2 linked regions of the Arabidopsis thaliana genome follow. The protein of the gene in region 1 interacts with the protein of each later gene in a pairwise test. Each region holds a gene or a part of one and is shown on either strand. Other genes may lie near its edges.

Evidence for each region. The genes of interacting proteins can lie anywhere in the genome.
Region 2: the proteins of MEKK1 (region 1) and WRKY53 interact in binary tests that used the Arabidopsis thaliana proteins (3 or more experiments, as listed by UniProt).

Annotation. Positions count from the first base shown.
Region 1 is NC_003075.7:5,402,089-5,410,666, forward strand, and holds MEKK1 (MAPK/ERK kinase kinase 1), read right to left. Parts: upstream 5,233-8,578; 5' UTR 4,975-5,232; coding exon 3,917-4,974; intron 3,744-3,916; coding exon 3,659-3,743; intron 3,526-3,658; coding exon 3,463-3,525; intron 3,376-3,462; coding exon 3,218-3,375; intron 3,116-3,217; coding exon 3,043-3,115; intron 2,945-3,042; coding exon 2,885-2,944; intron 2,630-2,884; coding exon 2,516-2,629; intron 2,400-2,515; coding exon 2,184-2,399; 3' UTR 2,156-2,183; intron 2,061-2,155; 3' UTR 1,583-2,060; downstream 1-1,582.
Region 2 is NC_003075.7:12,390,784-12,397,159, forward strand, and holds WRKY53 (WRKY family transcription factor), read right to left. Parts: upstream 3,200-6,376; 5' UTR 2,957-3,199; coding exon 2,553-2,956; intron 2,454-2,552; coding exon 1,883-2,453; 3' UTR 1,734-1,882; coding exon of another isoform or gene 1,617-1,733; 3' UTR 1,587-1,616; downstream 1-1,586. Other genes in the region: 3xHMG-box2 (HMG (high mobility group) box protein), read left to right, coding at 198-607, 686-791, 876-941, 1,025-1,195, 1,284-1,369, 1,442-1,526, 1,617-1,733. UniProt on the Arabidopsis thaliana protein: Transcription factor. Interacts specifically with the W box (5'-(T)TGAC[CT]-3'), a frequently occurring elicitor-responsive cis-acting element. May regulate the early events of leaf senescence. Negatively regulates the expression of ESR/ESP.

The DNA of each region.
Region 1 (8,578 bases):
ACCATTCTTAAACTCAAACTCTAATTATGGAATAACCGGTGGGCGTGCCGCGAAACTCCCTATATCTATAGCTAATAGTGACCGGAGAAGCCGAGAGACTATCAACCTAAATATGCATTCTTAACGAGTTCAATTGTTCATCTTAGTAAATAGGCCGATTCTTATTACACACCTATAGACCAAACTGATCAAATAATAGATTCAACTACAAATACCTATGGCGGACATATCTATTGTCTGGATTCAAGATCTAGTTAATTACTCTAGATATAACATTAGGTATAATTAAAGATGAAGAATTCTACAGATAACTTAGCAAAGGGGGCAATATACTAAACCATATGAATCCCTAATGAGAAACCCTATTCCTAACAAGCAGATTACTCAGACATATTGAATGAAACAAACAACATAATTGAGATAAAAAAGCATAAACACAATGAATAGAGAAGGGGAAAGAAGGGATCTCTTCACTGTATATAGATCTGAATGAAACTCTGAATAACAATGGATGAATAGCTTATGTCTCTTACAATAGGGTTTGCAAAGAACTTGATAAAAGACTTGATAAATGAAACTTAGGTCTAAAAACAATATATATAGACCCTAAAAACGTCCAGGGACTAATAATGCAAATAGGGAAATCTTCTGGGACAAAGTTGAGCTTCTGGAAACTCGAAAGCGTCTAGGGTTTTTGCTGGGCCGAAACTAGTGTCGATCGACACCAAGAGTGTGTCGGTCGACACTCGTTGCTGATTCTTGAACCAAAGTCGTCCTTAGCTTCCTTTTCGTTAGTTTTTGCTACAAAATGTTTCCTTATCTCCAATATTGTCTTATTGCATAAAATACCTGAAAAGACACTAAAAAGACACGAGAAATAACGTAAAGAGTCAAAATAGGGTTAGACTTGGCTATGAAACCTCTTGGAGACTATTCTTGTTTTGTATAACCTGTGTGAGCACCCAATATCCAGAATTGACAGTATAGCCTCCGAATTAGGGCTGAGCAGAGAGCAGATATCCGGGATTTTGGTGTTGTTTGTGATTCGATTTGCTTTATCAGAATACTTATTTTTTTTTTTTTGTATTTGCTTTGAGAGAGACCAAATATTCGGTGGTTTTGAATATCCGTTAAAATCTAAACCATTTAATTATCATATATCGGATTTGTTAAATATTTATTTTAAAAAAATATAAAAATATAAAATTTAATCCAAAAATAGTAAAATTTTATCAAAAATAGTAATATTTTATATTTCTCTTTTCAATGTTAAAACTAGTAGTTCAAATAATTAATTAGGTGATTAGAAAATTATAATTAAATTGAGTAGAATAACGGATCAAAGCGAATCTAACAAATATTCTATCTAGTCGTACTCCAAACTTGGTATAATCCCAAGTATAGGTATCTTGTGTATTTTTTTTCCTGGCATTTAGATCCCCGTTGAAAATGGTCAAAGCCAAAATTCTTTCGATTATCTTTTTTTTTGGTCACTTTTGAATTTTTTTATAAATCCATCATTTCCAATAACTTTTCAACGGGCAATATTGTAAAAGAAAAAAAAACAAGTTGAATTATATAGACTTCAATTAAAGTGGCTTTGACCTGAATTATAGAAAATATCTTGACTATACTTTTTAATAGATGATTAGAGCAGCAGATTTCTTTAAAATATGAGACAAATAGAACTTAAACCCATCGATGTGTGTACACAGTTACAACAAGCCAGGAACTATAAGAACCAACTATAATTATACATTACATGATATAGATACAGACATACATACACTATAATTTAACAAAAAAAACTAAACAAAACCTATACACCCAAAAACCCCAAGGTCGACATTTCTAATTCCTAGAAAAATAAGGCTCTTCAGTTTTAAAATCAAGCCCAACACATAACTTGCAACAAATAACCAACGAATGACACAGAAACTAAGTAAGTTTGGCTCTTGCTGCGCAACCCGACCGCACGTGTGTGTGTGTCGAAGAATCATGTCTCGTGTCTCCCAATAGTTTCTCTGGGATCTAATCTCTCATAAATCTTCGGGTTATGCCTGCTTTTGTACATTAGGACATCAATGTTAGAAGAATATATAGCTTTTGTTGATTCTGATAATATCCTCATGAAAAAAGCAACTAAATACTTCACCTATTGAGGAAATTTACTAAAATTAGCCTCATCTACGGAGAAGGGGAGATGCTGATCCCGAGCCTCCTGAACCCACGGATGGTAAGGGTCTTCTCACAAATGGATGGTTCAGCAGTTCAGCTGCAGTTGGCCGCTCTTCCGGGTTCACTTTAAGACACTTAAGTATGAAAAGCCGAGCATCTAGTGATAACGTATCAGGTACTTCCGGAAGAGTACCCCTTCCGATCCTAAACAGGGCTTGAACCTGCGCGTTTGCACAAATTCTGACTTTTAACTCATAAAATCCCATAAAGTAGACACTTCAAATGTCGTTTAAGATTATTAAGACAGTTCAAAAGTTTGAAAATCTTGAAGACTTACGGGTTCGAGATCAGAGTAGGGGATCTGACCAGTACACATTTCCAGCACAGTGCACCCGAGGCTCCATATATCAGCTGGACTTCCATAGCCATCACTATCCTTTCGGTTAATAACCTGATCAAATGATTATGTTCTATTTAGATATAACCATACAAGTATAGCCTCAAGTACAATGAAAGTGAAATGAATCCACATCTGTTACGTACGATTAACATACATACTTACAATTATCAAAAACCATTAACTGATATAAAGAAAATTTCACCAAATATTTGAAGCAAACATAACCAGGAGTTTTTGAGGTTATAAAGCCCAGACCAGAACATTTCTATTAATGTAAATCACTGGGAAAGTTTCCCAAAACCATACCTCTGGAGCCATCCAAAATGGAGTTCCCTTGCAGGACTTAATGTCGTTAAACTTTGAAACCTAAATAAAAAAAAATGACAAACATATCAGGGTACTAAACGATGGACCAAGTAATTACTTTAGAGCAAAGCTATAAATATCTATTTATGGAAAAAAACCTTTGCCAATCCAAAATCTGCAAGTTTGACGGCGCCATTAGCGTCCACCAATATATTTGCACATTTGATGTCCCTTTGTTGCATAAAATGATAAAAATAAGTAACCCATGAGATGCAGGAAATTAGATAGATGCTTGGGAATTACAGCTGTACCAAGAGAGTTTACTAGTCTAACCTGTGAATAAAACCTTTATCGTGGAGATATTTCAAACCGTCAAGAATCTGTCTAGTGTACAAGGAGACTACAGAGTCCCGAAGCTGGTATCTTTGGTAGAGTTTTAGAAGGGACCCTTGGGTTACAAGCTCAAGAAAAATGTACAAGTTTGACCCATCCTGAAAACAGCGAAATGAGTTATTATTGCACAATGAAATAGTTAGGCAACTGCAACTAAGAAAAAGAAAGAGAGAACAGGACCACACCTTGGCTGTGCCACGATATCTCACAATATTCTGATGCTGAAGCTGACTAAGTAGTTTAATCTCCTGTAGAAAATGAAAAATATGGCAAAGGTAAGGTGGATTAGCAACCTACTTTTGACTGCTCCATGAGATAATGACAGAAGTGATAAATGCTACGGATCATTGACCCATGTATATGAAACTTCCATTTCCATACCCCCTCAAGTTGTTGTATGCATTCTTGTGCCTGACTTCCCTGATCAAGAAGTGAAACTTCCTTGACAGCAAAGAAGTCCCCATCTCTACATATAACATAAACATCCATTAGCCAAACGCATAATGGAAGACTCGTTTGGACCACATTTGTCAGCCGACTACTGTAGTATTCCTCATTGAGTGTCTACTTTTTTAAAACATCATGCGACTAAGTATCTGATTTCAAGTTCAACAAACACAAGCAACCAGTAAGACTTACCCAGAAATGCCTTCATACACAGAACCAAATGATCCTCGTCCCAAAAGTTGACCCTTTTGCCAAGACGTTATGATAGCTCCTCCATCTGGATAGATAGGCGAAGTATTGGATACTGTGCTTGAGGAGTCACCCTCATTTGTAGTGAATGAGCACGTCTCGTCAGCCGTATCCCCCAACTGGATAAACCTAGCTCCCATCTCTTCCGCTTCCGCTTCCTCTTCCTTGCCTTCCTCTTCATCGCATCCATCCTCGGAAGAAGAAGAAGAGGAACTCGGCCGCTTAACTGTTTCACTTGGAGCGAAATGCGTCAGGAAATCCCAAGACGATCCCCGATGATCAATAGGGGGTCGTTTCATAGCCGGAGGAGGCTTAAGTACTGGTGGTCTTAGCCCCTTAATACCACCACCAACACCAACACCAACAGCCACTACATTATTTGGTACAAGATACCCTTTCGACTTCACAATAGTTGGTGTTCTTTCCATAACACGCCTATTCTCTACCACACCATCAGCTACTAACCTATCCACAGGAGTGATTAAATTCCCAATCTCACTCAACTCAGTAACAATTCCACCACTAGGACCTGCTTCACTCAAATCCTGACCCTGAACCTTATGATTCATTGAATCAGAACCAACAACAACACCACTAGGACCTTCTTCACTCAAATCCTGATCACGAACCTTATCAAGATCAAAAGACTTAAACCTATTAACAACATCTGAAGAAGAACGTTTCTTACAAGCTTCCCAAGCATCAAAAGAAATAGCCAAATCATCAGGACCAGAAACACCAAGAGACCGATAAATCCGATCCATCTCTCCAACACCACCACCGATTCGGAAACTAGTAGGCTCCGGAAACTCCAAAGAGCGAGTCATCAACGAAGAAGTCGAAACGGAAAGATCTTCAGCTGACGAACTAGAACATGAAGCTGCGTCGTAATTGATATTCCTCGCCGCATCGCGACGCTCTAACCGCCGTACCGGAGTAATATTCTTATCTCCTCCTCTTCGTCCAGTTGATTTCTTCATACGAGCTAGAATTCTGTCCATAACCAGCTCAAATCCATACGCTATTTACAAGTTCCAAGTCAAAATTGAAGAGAATCGCACCTCTTACTTGGCTTCAATGGAGCTTGGAATTGGAAAATTTTCCCGAGAAAAAAAACTCGCGGGAGTGAAGAAGACCGAGAAATTTGGGCAAAACCTGACGGCGAAGAGAGAGATATGAGAGAAGAGAGAGAGAGAAAGAGAAGAAATGTAAACAAAAACGCGGTGTTTCGTGGAATAATCGGAGACGAAGCATTGTTTCGGCGTTTTTGATTGTTCCATGAGAGTCTTTACTTTTTTTGTTTACGCGTTCACTTACTGGGCTTTTTAATTGGGCTTACAATTGTTGGGCTTCTTAAGCTTTCAGTTTGGAGTTTTGAGTTGAATATATTAATTATGTAGACTTGAGTTTGTTGTTTTAAAAAATACAAAATAATCTTATGAAATCTAAAATAGCCTATTTTGCAATTTTATATATATTGTAAATGTTTTCACGATTACATACATTTGTTTTTAAAACTTTTAAAGATATACTTGAACTCTTCATCTCGAGGTTCCGATTTAATATATTATTTATCAAAATTTTAAAATTTGATAGTAACGAAAAATCTATATTGTGTATTATTTTGAAATTCATATGATATTTTGCATTTTTTGGATCTGAAGAATAAAGTTGTAAAAATAGACGAGTTTGAGGATTTTTTTGCATAAAACCCTTTTAAAAAGTAGAGTTTAGATGGTTTTAAGGTGTTAAACTTAAAACATGTGTAAACTTTAGAATCCGTGGACGAGGCATACACCGCTTTACTATAGGACGTGTTAATATATTTTTAACTTTTAAGTACAAAAGAAAATAAGTGTCGTGGATTAGTTAATCGATGTAGTAGAGTATTGCGAGTTTGATTGTGTGTTTTGCAGGGTTTTGATAGAGGTAAATAAAAAATCTGTTAAACATACAAAAGTTAGAAGTAATATAGTTAACCTACGAAAAGATTGTAACTAAATAAACATATTACTATAAATTATACAACATATAACAAATAGAAAGATTACTTCGATAAACCTAAATAGAGCAAAATTTTCTACCGCTTACTTTTCGTACAATTTTTGAACTTTAACATGGACAATGTCTAAGCAAAATTTTGTTTTGTTTAATTGTTTTTGTTGAAAAGATGTAAATAAAAATTGCATGCCCAAAACTCGTCTACAAAATCAAAGCAATTTTTTTTTACTTTTGCCCATCAAAGAGCATAGTAATGTATCAAACTTATTTTTATATATAGATATAAAGATTTAATGGGTAAATTGCTTTAGAGATCGTGTGTGTGAAGAAGCAATAATCATATATTATTTTAATCATCTTACGAAGAGTTAAGTGTCAGGGAAGAAGTTTGTTCTCATTCGCTCAAAATTGGAAACACTTATGTTGGTTATGTTAGTTATGATTTTTTGAGGGATATATTGCTTAGATTTCGAAACGAATTGGGTGAAGTTATTGAGTAAATCGTTTAGCTAGATTAGTTCGTATCATGTATTGATTTTAATTTGTTTATGTAATCTCTTCTCATCATTATTGGGTAGCAAAAATAAAGCTTTTCTTTTAAAAACAACAACTTCTGGCTACAAACAAAATGTCAATATCCAATTAACAAAATTATCTAAAACTAAACTGAAAATTGTAAATTCTAAACAAAAATTCTTAAACCAAATCACTTAGACTTCACTTTAGTAACCTTTAATTAATAAATAATATATCTATATTTAGTTCTGGAAGAGTCAGCCTTTTATTTTAAAAATCTAAAAATTTGTCTCCTAGTCATCCTTTTATAGGAAGAAAATACTAAATTTCTTTATTCAAATAAATACTATAACAAAATATTAATATTTTAATGTATAATTTGGTAATATATTTAAAATTCAGACACATTGACATTATAATTAGGCAATTTGGTACCATGTTAATGAAATATTAATGTTGATTAACTATTTAGGCTAAAATTCAATTAATATTTGGTAAAAATACTTATTAATAATTGTATTACATAATCTGGTAATATATTTATGATCACTAATGTCTATTAACTAATTATAGTAAATTATTTATCAAAAGATATTAAAATTAATATTTAGATATCTTACTTAAATAATAATATTTTTCTTTTTAAAATTGATCATATCAAAAAATAGTGTACTTTACAAGTAACTTATATGATATGTGTAAAAAAGTAAGAAAATTGATAACTTAGCTAAAATTGGTCATATACATTGATCAAGTTGCCATATATATTCCAAAGGGCGTGAAACAGTTTCTCATAGTTAACTAGAAATTTCACTTAAACATATGCTAAGTATTTTTTACAAGTAACTCATTTTCTGTTCGTTAAAACCGTTAACTCTCTTTTCCCGCGAAAATTCAACTAAATCCTCATTTTCGTACGTTAATACAGGTAAATCTCTTTTCGTTCATGTAAACTAGTAAATCTCTTCTCGTTCGTAAATAGTCTTAAACCTTTTCCGTGGCACGAAAGTCTTTTACGTAGGTAAACATAGTCAGATAAATACAATTATTTTTTTCTTTTTTTTTTCTTTTATATATATAGAAACAACTTTAGAAGTAATAAGTTTTCTTGCAATTATTCTAATTCTGAATTTATAATAGAAAAAAAAATACAGTTATGAACTTTGATCATTGTCTTTGTTCCAAAAATTTAACTTGTACACAAATAAGGAAAACCTAATATAACAGAAAAAATATATATAAACTTCTTTTCTGTTCGTTAAAACTGTTTTATTCTCTTTTCCTGTAAGAGTTCAACTAAATCCTCATTTTCGTACGTTAATACAGGTGAATCTCTTTCCGTTCGTATAAACTAATAAATCTCTTCTCGTTCGTAAATAGTCTTAACCCTTTTCCATAGCACGAAAGTCTTTTATGTGGGTAAACAAAGTTAAGTAAATACAATTATTTATTTTTTTATAAATACATAAACAACTATAGAAATAATAAGTTTTCTTGCAATTTTTCTAATTCTGAAATTATAATAAAAAAAAATACAGTTATGAACTTTGATCATTGTCTATGTTCTAAAAATTTAACTTATACACAAATTAGGAAAAACCTAGTATAACAAAAAAAGGTTTATAAAAAAAAAAAAAATAGTATATATAAAAACTTGAGAAAGAGAGAGCTTTCTCGGAGAGAAGAAAGAGGCTGCTGTTTGTTCATGCGTTTCGTTCCTTGAACAAGTTTTCTCCAAACAAACCAAAAAAAAAAAAACATTTCGCCTCCTTCTCTTCTTCTTCGCTACCAGTCTCTTCTCTCTCGCACCATCGCAAAAACCCTAATTTTTCTCTTCGATTTTCTCTTCTCACAAACCCTAATTGTTTCTTCCTCCCACCACTCGCTTTCTCCTTCCATCGTTTGGTTTTTTTAATAAGTTTCTCTCTTTTTTCTTGTTTGGGGAAGAAGCCATTGGTTTCTTTAAACGATTGAATCTATAAAACTTCTTCTTTTTCTTCTGGGTTCTGTGTTCTTCGTCTCTTTCGTTGAACCCGTTGTTTCGATTTTCTTTCTTCTGAGGGAGATTTTTTTTCTGTTGATGCGTTG
Region 2 (6,376 bases), 7.0 Mb from region 1:
TTAGAGATTAGAATCTAAGTCAGAGTCAGGATTGGTTCTCGTTTAGTGTATGATGCGTTTGTTGTTGACACAGTTGCTAATATAGTGATATGTTCATTTCAATTGACAATTCCTTGTTATCTGTTGTTGATGATGAGAAAATATTTACTGGTTTCTGGATATTGATTCGAGAGTGTTTTGTGTTTTTTGCTCTTCAGACTTTTGCTTGCGGTCAGTCATCTCTCACACAGGCTGAGCAAGAAAAGGCGAATAAGAAGAAGAAAAAGGATTGTCCTGAGACAAAGCGACCATCGTCCTCATACGTTTTGTGGTGTAAAGATCAATGGACTGAAGTCAAGAAGGAAAACCCTGAGGCTGACTTCAAGGAGACTTCGAACATTCTGGGGGCTAAATGGAAGTCTCTTAGTGCAGAAGATAAGAAGCCTTACGAGGAAAGGTACCAGGTTGAGAAAGAAGCTTACCTCCAGGTCATTGCTAAGGAGAAGCGCGAGAAGGAGGCCATGAAGCTTCTGGAGGATGACCAGAAGCAGAGAACTGCAATGGAATTGCTTGATCAGTATCTCAACTTTGTCCAGGAAGCTGAACAGGACAACAAGAAGAAGAACAAGTAAAAACCAAAAGTCTTAGTGACTATATCAATTTGATCATCAATAGTAAACTAACTAGAGCTGTTTATGGTTTGCAGGAAGGAGAAGGACCCTCTGAAGCCAAAACATCCCGTATCTGCCTTCCTTGTTTATGCAAACGAGAGGAGAGCTGCTTTACGCGAAGAAAACAAAAGCGTCGTGGAGGTAAATCTAATTACTTAATTCGTTCTCCAGATCAGTTTTTGTCAAATTGTGAAGCTAACTTATGGAGTTTAAATGTGGTTATAGGTCGCAAAGATCACTGGAGAGGAGTGGAAGAACTTGTCAGACAAGAAAAAGGCACCCTACGAGAAGGTCTGTTTCCATACAAATATGCTTGCATTTCACTGCCATTAAAGACTTAAGACTGAATGATTGAGGTATTCTTGTTTAAATAGGTGGCAAAGAAGAACAAGGAGACATACCTGCAAGCAATGGAGGAATACAAGAGGACAAAGGAAGAAGAAGCCCTGAGTCAGAAGAAAGAAGAAGAGGAACTCTTGAAACTCCACAAACAAGAAGCTCTTCAAATGCTTAAGAAGAAGGAGAAAACTGATAATCTGATCAAGGTAATAACTCTCTCTCACTCACACTTAACTCACCAAGGTCTATTTCAACTCAGAGACTCACAGGATCATAATTATTTGTCTCTTGCAGAAGGAGAAGGCGACCAAGAAGAAGAAGAACGAAAACGTTGACCCTAACAAACCAAAGAAGCCTGCTTCTTCATACTTTCTCTTCAGGTATGAACTTACTTCAAGTTATAATCCGAATTGGTCTTTATAGAAAGTTCCTAACTTATCATGTTTTTACAGCAAGGACGAAAGGAAGAAATTGACAGAAGAACGTCCCGGGACAAACAACGCTACTGTTACTGCTCTCATTTCACTGAAATGGAAGGTATGAAAAATCACAATTACTAGCAACAAAACACATTGGCTTGTAACAATTTCCTGTTGTTAATCTATCTGTGCGAATACGTCTTTGCAGGAATTGAGTGAAGAAGAGAAGCAAGTTTACAACGGAAAGGCCGCAAAACTGATGGAAGCATACAAAAAGGAAGTGGAAGCTTACAACAAGAAGTCTGCGGCTACTACCAGTAGCTAGATAAATCTCTCTTAGTATTGAAATCATGTTCAAGTCCTGTTGAACATTCCTTATTATGCATCGTTAGATTACTCTAAGTACTTTTATGTTTTAACTCTCGCTGATCATTACTTACTAGTTACTATCTATTTCTCTGTTACAAATTTTAATTAATAATAAATCGACTCGTGTAAAAACGCGGGGAAAGTTGTGTCAATCTCGACCGTTGGATTGAACCAGTCAACAACGTCGAAGATCGGAGAACTCTCCACGTGGCCGAACTCGCCGTTGATAGTTCCGTAATTGTAAAACGGCGGCGTATCAGGGAACGAGAAAACGTCTTTACCATCATCAAGCCCATCGGTTCGAACGGTTAAGTTGGATTTAAGACTCTCGAGAATATCCTTTGGCTTTTGGGTAATGGCTGGTTTGACTCTGGTGTCTTGTCGCTTCTCCGGCGAGGCTAATGGTGGTGTTCTTGTGATCGCCTGCGAACAAGTGTGTGTTCCTCTGTACGTCACTTCGAAAACCGTAGCATCCCCGTCTGATCTCTGGACTTGTTTCGTTGCCCAACAGTTTTGTGTGCTACGATGTGTGCATCTGTAATAACTCCTTGGGAATTTGGCGCCTAAAATGTCTTTTTGACCATATTTTCTCCAGCTAAAGACATCATCTTGAGGTCCTTCTAAGCCTCTCTCTGGGCTTATTCTCACTTTTTCTGACCACTTTGGTAACATCTTTCTGCAAAAATTACCCAAATTTCAAATTAGTTTCTAGAAAAAATGAGATTTTTAAATTCAATTTGGTGAATTGTGAAAAAAGATATCAACAATTTGTTACCTTTTCTTTGAATTGAAAATGTAATCTTGGCGATGATGACTCTCGCTAGAACCTCCTCCATCGGCAAACTCTTCACTTCTCGGACTTCCGTTTATCGATGCCGGAGATTCTGGAACACTGCCGGGATTTGCCACCGGGACTACAGTAACCGGCGTCGGAATAAGTTGTACGCTCGGTGAGGATGACCAGTTTAGCAGAAGAAGAGATCTCTCGTAGGAAGAAACTATCTGCTTCACCAGAATCTCGTTAGTCTCAGCAACAGCCGTCGCCGGTGATGAAAATGATGACGACGGCGACGGAGCTTCTCTAAGTCGTGCCTGAAGCTTTTTGGCCGCATCAAATCCATTGATAAGCTCGCTTAGCAATGTCTTTTGCTCCCAACTTAACATATCTCTTCCTTCCATTTTTAGTATATGATTCCCAAAATAGATTTTTTTTTTCCTTTAGGTAGTTTACTCTAGGAAATTGATACAAACTATGATGAGAAAGATGTATAATGTGTGTTTTAAGTATAAATCAAGAATTGGTTATATAGATGGACTGAAAGAATGATATGATCAGAAAAATATAATGTGTGTTGAGTATAATTAAGAATGGGTTATATAGATTGAAGAATGATATGATGAGAATGAGAGTGTTATAGGATTGGTGATAAAAATGGATGAGTGTTGGTTTGGTATATAAAGGCATTGGATTTTCAGTGTTTGAAAATTTGACCAAATGACCAAACCATAAATAATTATTTTATTTCTTTTTAAAAGAGAGACAAAACTTTCAAATTGAAGAAAAGTCTTTGGTATAAGGAAGTATAGGGCCAGAGTGTAATTGATAAGTGGGGTGGTGGTAGTGAAAGAGTATAAGGTCAAAGGCTGACCAATTCAACATTTCAATTTTGTTAATGTAGTTGTAACCAAGTTTATCATTTATTTAACTATAGTGGGTTAATTATATAATTAGACAACAAAGGGTTATACAACTGTCTCTTTCAATGTACACTTTCAAAACTACGACTTTGTACATGTGATTAAGATTCTCTATTATTATATGTTTTTTTCTACTGTTAAAGAATTTCCAATATATGTTTTTTATTTGATTAAGAATATTTTCAAAATATGTTGGTTGATGCTTTACTAGTATGCATTATGCAACAACCTTTCTATGGATAATATTTCATTGCTATAACTATGAATTGTAATGATGTTTAATATCATTAATAAGGGAAAGGATATTCCACATTCTGTTTTAAGTACAAGTATCAAAACACATATTGGTAATTTGGTATAATACAATTCTTATTAACATTCAATAGATTAGCAATAACATAAAAATTATGTTGAATGAAATTTACTAAGATTTGATTGTTCTAGTTTTAAAATCATACACTTCTAAAAATAAGATATAAAATAAAAATCTGATGAGGATTAATTAATCTGTACAAAATTTCTTCCTAAAAACCCCTATATGTTTTTGTTTTGTGTCAATATATTTAAGCATACATTTGTTCAAGATATAATATTGTATTAACATGAAAAAATATAAATTTGTTTGGCAAAGAAAATAAATAATAGTTGCAGTCTAACAATATAACTAAATAATATTTAAAATGGTAGTTGCTTATACATATATAGTCTGTGAGTGATTATGTGAGCTATGTCAAGTTGTTAACTGTTTCTAAATAAGAAATATTAAACTCGAGAGGGGAAAATAATACAAATGGGTTTAATTTGGACAAATATATATGATATGTTCCATAAGAATATAATCTACAAAGTTATGTGATAATACACCAAGAGTATGACAAGGTTTTTGCTGACCAAGTCACCATGGAATTATCTCAAATAGTCATATAGGTGTGTGAATAAATATTTATTTATGGTTGAGACAAATGGCCATTAATTTGGACAAAATTTATTTATACATAATGATTGATATGTTCCAAAGAGAAAAGTAGAAAAAACCAGTCACTGTGTGATACGATATATACAATACAACAAGAGTATGATAAGGTCTTTGCTGACTAAGTCCAACATCAAGCTATCTAAAGTAGTCAGATCGATAGATGCATTCCATTCCAACATTCATTTCTTATGATTAATCCTTTTTAACTTTGTATGTCATCAAATATTATTCAATTGTAATTTGGACCTCTCATACGTAAGAAATAACCTTTGTAATAATTGAACCGTTATCCAAAAAGTTACAGCAAAAATCTCATAGCTGAAGTTGACACACACGAGTGTAGTGTACAGGACCAATAACCACTAAAAGGTTTATGAACCATATTTACCGTTTTACTAATGAAATGGTTACTTTTTTAAATTTGTTTTGGGTCAAAACTCACTCATGGGAATGGGATTACCAAAATCGTTTTCGATAGATTTGATTTGCGCAAAGTATAGTGTAGAAATAATTTGTTTTTTGGGTCGATATTCATAACATACATTTATTTATGTAATTTTACTTCAACGTAGGCCTTTTACAAAAGGAAAAAAAATCACTTCAACGTAGAAAAAACGTAATTCCAAAAAACAGATTTGTTGATTAATAAAAAGCAAGAAAAATCAAAAAGAAAATCAATATTCAAAAGGACAGGATTGGACCGAAGACATTTCAAACCTCTCTCCGCGTGGATTTTCCCTTTTATCATTCTTTTTTGTTTTCTAGTTTTAGTACTCCAAATGATATTTTAATTTTTATAATGGCGTCACTCTCTTTTGCGTCATTCATTCATTGTATTATTATTATTATTTGGATCTCATTCATCATTCATCCTTATAAAATGAATCTTGGCACTTTGCACCCTAAATTTGTATTTACACTTCATAGAATCAGCTGAAATTATGTAATTTGACATATTTGCATCCAAAACATAACTCTTGAAATCTTTGAATCAGCTCACAAGATAATGACGTAAGTTGACATATTATTTCTGCATTGCTTCATTACAAAACCAAGAAGATTTTTTTTGTATGATCTGTAAACTTTACGGCATTAAGTATCGCATTTATTTCTAATTACGCAACAGTATTTTGTGTGTGTGTGTCAACGCTGCACAGTATTTTTAGTAGAATGAAAAAAAAATATAATTTGCTATGCCAAATATCAGTAGCCAATTGGACTCGCTAAAAACAGCAATAAATTAGTAAAGTAGGAAAATGCCAAACAATTTAAAAAAAACTCATGTACGGAAAAACATTGCTTTCAATCCCTTTGATATAGTCAACACATATTCGACATTTTCACACTTAAAATAAACTTATTATCCTTCAACTTTAACTCTTTCCTCACTAATTCAAATTATTGAGGTACATAAATAGATATACGCATTAAATAGCCTAACTTTAGTTTCTTATCTACAAAACCAATGGAGGGAAAATTATAAATAAATAAATTAATTATCTTATGTTATCAAAAAAAAAAAAAAGAATAGATTTCGTGTTATTTTAACAAATATCATGTTAATTTATCTAATCTCATGTTATTCCATATACTGTAATATCAATGCTATTTATTTAGACAAGTGATAAGACGTGCTGTCCTCTGAATAATTTGGCAATGTTACATGGCCTTCTTTTGTCAAATTATTACTCGAGCCTTTGTAGTATCGAGCCCAACTGTCTTTAGAGCCGGTATATGTCCAGTATACCATCAATCTTACTGTTATAAATCCAACTTCTTTTTTCCCAGAAACTTGAGCATTCACAAAAAAAGACTTGCTTATTTTGTTAAACTTTCTTCATTTTTCAAATTACAATTCATTACATAATTTTTTTAAAACATACAAAGTACAAACATATATATAAATGGAGGAACTGCAAACTGGA